Linked DNA regions of Rattus norvegicus. The protein of the gene in region 2 interacts with the protein of the main gene of each other region in a pairwise test. Links are inferred from orthologs where the notes say so. Each region holds a gene or a part of one and is shown on either strand. Other genes may lie near its edges.

Evidence for each region.
Region 1: the proteins of Supt20h (region 2) and Mapk14 interact in binary tests that used the Homo sapiens proteins (3 or more experiments, as listed by UniProt). The link is inferred for Rattus norvegicus from reciprocal best matches to the Homo sapiens genes SUPT20H and MAPK14.

Annotation. Positions count from the first base shown.
Region 1 is NC_086038.1:6,750,089-6,753,835, forward strand, and holds the start of Mapk14 (mitogen-activated protein kinase 14), read left to right. Parts: upstream 1-1,270; 5' UTR 1,271-1,590; coding exon 1,591-1,706; intron 1,707-3,747. UniProt on the Homo sapiens protein: Serine/threonine kinase which acts as an essential component of the MAP kinase signal transduction pathway.
Region 2 is NC_086020.1:141,046,658-141,050,404, forward strand, and holds the start of Supt20h (transcription factor SPT20 homolog), read left to right. Parts: upstream 1-905; 5' UTR 906-979; exon of another isoform or gene 980-1,202; 5' UTR 1,203-1,311; intron 1,312-2,313; exon of another isoform or gene 2,314-2,364; intron 2,365-2,884; 5' UTR 2,885-2,960; coding exon of another isoform or gene 2,961-2,968; coding exon 2,969-2,971; intron 2,972-3,747. UniProt on the Homo sapiens protein: Required for MAP kinase p38 (MAPK11, MAPK12, MAPK13 and/or MAPK14) activation during gastrulation.

The DNA.
Region 1 (3,747 bases), on a different chromosome or scaffold from region 2:
TGGGAATTGAACTCAGGACCTCTGGAAGAGCAGTCAGTGCTCTTAACCACCGAGCCATCTCTCCAGCTCCCTCAATTTAAGTTCTTAAAATTCTCCCAATTTTTCCTTTAAATTTCTAAATTTTGGATGGTTCTAAATTGGCAGGAGTCGGTCTCGAACCGGAGTCATGGGCTTTGGGGTGTTCCAGATATGGTCTCATAACAGCCCAGGCAGGTCTCTTAACTACTCACTATATAGCAGAGGCTGGTCTCCTGGTCTTTCCAAACGCTGGAATTACAGGCTACGTAAATCTAAATAAATACATCAAATATATGAGAAGGGTCTCTTGGTCTTTCCAGATGCTAGAATCACAGGCTGTATAAATCTAAATAATTCAGTAAATAAATAAAATCAAATACATGAGACGGGTCTCCTGGTCTTTCCAAACGCTGGCATTACAGGATGTGTACATCTAAATAAGTAAAATAAATGAGAAACTTTCCTGAAATGGAATGACCTACCTGCAGAGAGAGAGAGAGAGAGAGAGAGAGAGAGAGAGTGTGTTTCCCTTCCAGTCATGGGTATCGAACCCAGGGCCTTGCAAACGCAGGTCTCAGCCTCAAAGTGGCCATTCCTGACGTCCACCTCTGACCTTGTGCATCGGACTCCCTAGTGGGTCCCTGGAACCTCCTCCTACACCTTCCACGGTGGTTCTTCTGGTGAGGACATTTAGAAGCTGCTAGGAGCGTCCGGCGGGAGGGAGAGCCTGGGCTTTGAGACCGGGTTAATGTTTGCCTGGGTGGGGAGGGGGACAGGTTTCATCAGCGTCCCGAGATAAGCCACGCGTCCTTGAGCGGATGGGAACGCAACAGCTTTCTGGACAGGGCCAGTCTGCTCTTGCAAATCTTTCTTGGAAATCGCCGGCTCCGGTGAGCAGGTGGCTCGGAGCTCAAAGACCGCTTGGCTCTCTTTCCCCCCCCCGACGCCGTCCCAGTGGTTTTCCGCCACGGCGCCGGGCATTCGCCGGTCCGACCACAGAGAGGCGCGCGCGGCCTACGCTGCGGTCCGCCCCCACCCTCGGCGCCCCCCGGGAGCAGAGTCTCCCCTAGAGTTCCTGCCTCAGCTCCCGGAGCCGTGTCTCTCTTCTCGCGAGATCTTCCCGTCCCGCGCGCTCTTCTCGAGCACCCCCGCCCCACGGGCAGGTTCCATATTGGGTAAGATCTCGGCTCGCGGAGCTGTTCTCGCGAGAGTCCTGCTAGAGCCTCCCCGGCCGCTGCCTGCGGGGAGAGGGGGGAGATCGCGGCCACTGGAGCCCGAGCGGGCGCTAGAGCGCGAGCGGCTGTCGCGCAGCGTCGGCGTGCGCTCCCCAGGGAGCGGCTGCAAGGGGACCGCGGCGGGAGCTGCGTCGAACCGTGCAGCCGGCTCCCGCTCGTTGCCGAGGCTCGTAGGTGCCGCCGCGGCTGACAGGAGCCGTGGGTCGCAGCCTCCACACCTGCGCGGGCGCGGGGTCGGGTCTGCCGCGGGCGAGCGAGAGGGCGCAGAGGAGAGCGTGCGGCTGCAGGCAGGGGCCCTCGCTCGGCCACCTCGTCGCCGCGCTGCCGCCGCTGGAAGATGTCGCAGGAGAGGCCCACGTTCTACCGGCAGGAGCTGAACAAGACCGTCTGGGAGGTGCCCGAGCGATACCAGAACCTGTCCCCGGTGGGCTCGGGAGCCTACGGCTCGGTGTGGTGAGTGTCGCCGGGCTTGGGGTTGGGGGCGGGGGTGGGAGGGAACGTGGTGGAGCAAGCAGGGTGGCCCTGCATGCCTGAGCGCCAGGCCTGTCCCCACAGCTCAGCGATGCGCCCAGCGGCAGGAATTCTCCTGCGGGCGTGTCTTGGGGGTGCAGGGGGCAGTTGGAGCGGGACGTGTCCTGCACCCCTCGCCCTGCACACTCAGGTGGGTGGGGAACCGTGTGCGGGATCGGGTCAGCCGTGGGCGCGGTGTGATGGGGCTCCACCCTGTGCTCTCCATGCTCGCAAGATCGTTCCTCCCGGGGGTCCCTCTGCAGCCGTGCGGCCTCTGGACCCTGCCTCCGGGTACCGCCACTTGGCACGCAGGAGCCCTGCCCCGGGGAGCGGGCGAGCTGGGCGCAGCTCCGGCGAGGAGCAGTAGGTCAAAGCCTGACCCGGGGACTGCGGTCACCTGAACGAAACTTGCAAGAAAAAGCGCTCCCTTTCCCGGAATTTTTTTTTCTCTTTCTCAGTTTTTCCCTCCCATTTAACCATTTTTGCAAGCTTCGGTCGAAAAACCCAGAATCGGGAAACGTTCTTTTGGGATTCGCACCTGAATTAGCAGCACCCCGAAGGGCTTAAAATAATACCGACTTTATCTCGGGGACCGCGGGGTGCCAGCTTGCCGTGGTGTGTTTCCGATTCGGTTGAAAGCGTATTTCCTTTTCGGGGAGGGAGGGTGGCAGTGCCTGCAAGGACGCTCCAGCTCTCAGCTTAGTCACACAGCGCTGCTCAGTTCAGTATTGTTTGACAAAACCAGTTTTCCATACGGAGCCAGAGTGGTTCTGATCTGTTGGGCGCCCCTCAAAGATCAAAAAGGTGGGACCGAGTGCTGGAGTTGTAAATGGTTTTTAATTGGGATGCTTTTCTTTCTTTAAGCCCCTTAGAAGATTTGCAGGGGGCTTTAAGCTTGTAAGCACCGAGGCACATGGGGGTTTTTCGGGAGAACCTGGCCGCAGAAAACGATGCCTTTCAGCTTTCATTAACACTTCGGCTTTTTGTTTGAGTTCGTTTGAGACAGAGTCTCACTATGGATGGCCCTGTCTGGCCTGAGCCTCAGTGGCTAGACCAAAGCCTGGCCTGGAACTCAACAAATTTTGTCTCCTGCCAGCGCTGAGAATAAAGGCATTTGCTACCACACAAGGCCCTGGGAGCAGGTTTCAGATTAAATTTATACAGTCAAAGGTCCACTCCAGAAATGTCAGGGACTTTCAAGGATTCATATAGTCTCATTTATTGGGACTCAGTGTCAGTTTAGACCTCCCTATCTGAAAGTAAAGACCAGACTCAACAGACTAGACTCTTCTGCGTTTTAGTGATTTATATTCACGTTTCCCTGAAAGAGCCTGTGAAATGTTTTTTTTCCCCCCCTTTGGAACAAATTCTAGGCTTCTGGATGTGTTAATCTTTAAGTATGAATCCTGTGTTACTTAAAGTCACATCGTGAATTTCCTGTTTGGTAGAATCTTCCTGGTAATTGCGATTGTGCAACCATGTCCGGCAACAGATCATATTGCGTTTGCTCGTTGGAGCTGCCTAGGCTGTGCTGCTGATAGCACCAGCCCTGACCTCTTTCCCCCAAGTTTACAGACTGGCAGTTTGCATTTTAAAGGGGATGTCAATAATTTACATCCCGTGTTTGTGATTGGTTTGTTTCTCTAGTACTCACCAGCTCCCTCAGTATCTCCAGTCTTCATTGCTCACTGTTACAGCATCAGGCTTTTGTCCCCATTTGGATGCTTGGGAAGGATGGAGCAGAACTCAGGGCTTCTGGGAGAGGGAACTTGCAGGGTTTCCTAGGGCCACTGCTGCCCTGGCAGAAGAGCCAGCTTTACAGTGACTTGCCACAGTGAAACCAACACCACTTCCTCTAGTGCTGTTACTTTCTTGCAATGGGATTGAGCACAGCCTCCCAATGAGATAGACTTCTACCAAACAGTTTCTTTTTTTTTTTTTTGGTTCTTTTTTTCGGAGCTGGGGACCGAACCCAGGGCCTTGC
Region 2 (3,747 bases):
TTACTGGCTTGCTTCCCGTGGCTGGCTCAGCTTGCTCTCTTATAGAACCCAAGATCACCAGCCCAGGGATGGAACCACCCTCAATGGGCTGGGTCCTCCCACGTTGATCACTAATTGAGAAAATGCTTTACAGCTGGGTCTCATGAAGGCATTTCCTCAACTGAGGCTCCTTTCTCTGTGATAACTCCAGCTTGTGTCAAGTTGACACATAAAACCAGCCAGTACAACCACCAAACACTTAATTGTGGTCCGATCATGCCTTTTCTAGATTTTTAAGAACTCATCACTGGGGTGGTTAAAATAAAATTGAAACGGTGTTGGGAGACAGATTACCAGATAAGGGGCGCTTGCCATCAACCCTGACTATTTGAGTCTGAACCCCAGGATCGTGAAGGAGAGAACCGACTCCCACAAGTTGTCCTGTGACCCCCAAATGCACTGCATACATATATGCACGAAACAAATAGGTGTAAAAGGACTTAAGGAATTCGCTGGCACCTGACGTACCACAAGCAAGCTCCAAGTTCTGAACTCATTAACTTTGGTAAAGATGTCTCACAAACTTTGGAAGTTCAACTTTTTCCTGCTCCCGAAAATTAAAACCCATGCTCTCCCAAGCCGCGCAAACCGGCCGGACAACTTGCTCCAGCGTTGTGCCTGCTCCTGAAGCTACTCTAAGACCCTGGAAAGCGGGTGTCGCCCGCCCCTCCAGTTAAGCCACTATCCCCTTTCAAAACGTCCAATCACCGCCCCACCTCTAACCCCGCCCACGGTCCCGCCCAGTCCGCCAATCAGAACTGCGGCGGCCGGAACTCCCTGTTGGAGCTGTAAGTGAGCGTTGTGTCGGGCCTTGCACGGCCTCAACACCCGCCCCTTCCACTAGCAACGCGCCAATCGGAAGAGCAGCGGCCGGAAGTGGCGGTTGGAGGTGTGGGTGGGCGTTACAGCAGCCCTTAGTTGAGTTCTCAGACTGAAGGTGGTAGGTGACTTTGGTGGGTGGGCGGGCCGGCTAGGGGTTGTAGGTCAAGTGTCCTGGGGCGGCCCGGATCTGAAGAGACGAGTAGAGGTCGATCTGCTTCTCCCAAGTTCCGGGTCTTGGGCGGGCCCCATCGGCGGCCATTCTGCGCGAACGACCCTCAGCACTTCGTGGCCCGGTTCGCCTGCACTTTTAGTAATAACTTGTCCTTTGGGCTCCGTTACAGGTATTTCTGGAAACTCCCTGCGGGGTTGGCAGAATGCTTCTTCAGGCCGGAGTCCTGTGTGACTATTGAATAAAGCCGGTTACTTCTCTGTGGAGTTGGCGTTCTGAGGGTAAAGCCTGGGTTAAAAAAAAAAAAGTCTGCAATTGAGACCCAAGTTCATCAGAGAAATCAGAGTAGCTGATGTCTACCCTGGGAGCCATCTTTTATCGCCATCCGAGTCCGTAGTTAAGACGCCCAAGTGCAAAAGCAGTATGAACAGACTTAGAGATTGAGTACAGAGTACTATGATTGATATAAACTTAACATTAAAATTAGGAAAAAAATACGTGAGTGCCCTCTTCAAGTCAGTTCGTAATGCTTTGCTTAAGGAAAGAAAAAGAGGAACCATGGATGCGGGTTTGATTAGGCTGAAGGTTAGAATAATAGAACTAAAGGTTACAAATTGCGATGGGACAAATGCCTAAATAGGACTGTGATACTGGGTGAGTCGCTTGCATTGAGTTCTCGGTAAAATAGAGATGTCGATGATGTATAATAGTTTCACATGGGTTCTCAGTTCTCATCAATTACATATACAAACAATATAAGAGATAACACGTGTGTTCGTTCTTTTGCGCAATGAAATAGTTTAAAATACCCCTCCCTTCTAATTTCGTAAAAAGTAACTGTAATTTGAGTTACTACATTAGATTTGTAAGTCTTGTTATTTATGTTTAATGGTCAAAAAAAATTCACCTAAATTCTGCTTATACTTCCTCTAGTAATTCAAAGACAGAAATAATGTCATTCTTAAAAAGATACATTTTGGCTTTTAAAAAACTAATACTACCAGGGAATATTTTTTAGCCTGTACTGGCTTAAGCTTTGGGGGGGTCCTTCCCTTTGAAAGAGTTTTGCATAGGAAATCTGGTTTTCTGTCACCAGAATTTGTACCTTACTGGAGTTGTGTAGTTTCTGTGGTAGTGAGTGCAAATTGATAGGTGAAAGCTGTAGTAATAGAACTTTTAGTGTCTTCAGAGCAGAGTGTATCATCTCTGGTAGGCGGAAAGGGTTAGAACAGTGGCCTTCCACTGTGGTGTTTCCTTATTTCTGGACCCCTATTCTATTCTAGACTTTGACCAGAACCCAGAGAATGGGACATGGGCATTCAACTTAAAGCTGGGTAGGTTACTTGGTTTTTAAGCCAGGATGAGAACCCCTGCATTATAGAAAAGGTTTTTTTAAAGATGTTTCTCCTTTTCTTGAGGAAAAGGACTAGAACAATCTGGGAAGCGTAGCCTGGGACGCTTGAGGGGGAATAGAGGGTTTCTGGTTTTGCCATCAGTGTGACTAAAAACTGAATTTCAAAGTGGCCCTACATAGCTGTCAAAGCTGGTGGGCAGGTTGTAGAATCTGCAGGGAAGACAGTCCCATATTGATGCTAGAAAACACGTTTTAGAAGCCAGTTTTTCTCAGTGTTGTGTCACTTTTGGGCCATGGGAGGTAATGATTGGAATTCTCAGACGGTTTTGGCCTGCTCTGTAAGAGCTGGTTTTCATCTGTGTGTAGGTGGCTCTAATACACTGTCTTGTAGAAGGTTGTTTTAAAGGTAAGCTAGAATGTATATGCCTTGAGTGCTTTCCCGATAATGACGCGTTTTGCAGTTGCAATGCTAGCAGTTCCTATTTGTTTGTTTTCTGCAGGATTTAAGAAGACATGATTTCCACCCCACTTCCACAGCACGTCTAAAGTTTTGTCTTCTTTCTGGGTCCTTATCTTATGCCACAATGGTAAGCTGTGAAATTAGCATGTTAAAATGTGTATCTTATACTCTTCTCTTCCTTTAGCTCCATAAAAACAATAGTGGATAGAAACACACAGATAACTTAGTAACGATGTCAAAATATTCCCTAGAAAATAATCTGACTCGAATTACACAGCTCCTCCATGTATTACAAGTTAATTCTGCTTTGTCTTTTTTTTTTTTTTTTTCCCTGAGTCTTTGGCTAGGAGGTTGATATAAGTACAGATACTTGGGGAGGACTTCTCATATTTTAAGTTTCCTCTTACATCTGTTTTGAGTATGCTTGTTCTATACATGTGGGTCTATAAGTTTGTAAAGAAATGATAATGTCAGTGCCCTTCCTCTGGCTCTGTCCACCTTTTATTTTGAGACAGGTCTAGAGCTGGCTGAGTAGGCCAGGTTGGCTCCTGAGGTGTATTTCCCCGTCACAGATCCCTGCTTGTGCCACCCTGTCTAGTTTTCTTCTATGTATTCTGGAGATTAAACTCTGTTATTCATGGTCATGTGGCAGGTACTTGGACTGAACTATTTCCCCAAACTCCTCCATTTACATGCTTTAAAATTAACAAATGTAGGCAGATTTACTTTGACACAGATGTAATTCCAGTACTTGGGACACTCAGGTCAAAGGGTCTCTGTGTGTTGAAGGCCAGCTTGGGCTAGAGAGCTGCAGCCAGCATAGGCTACAGCATCTCCAAACCCTGTCTGTACTCCCCCCTCACACACACACACACCCCTCCCCCAACACACCTCCCACACACA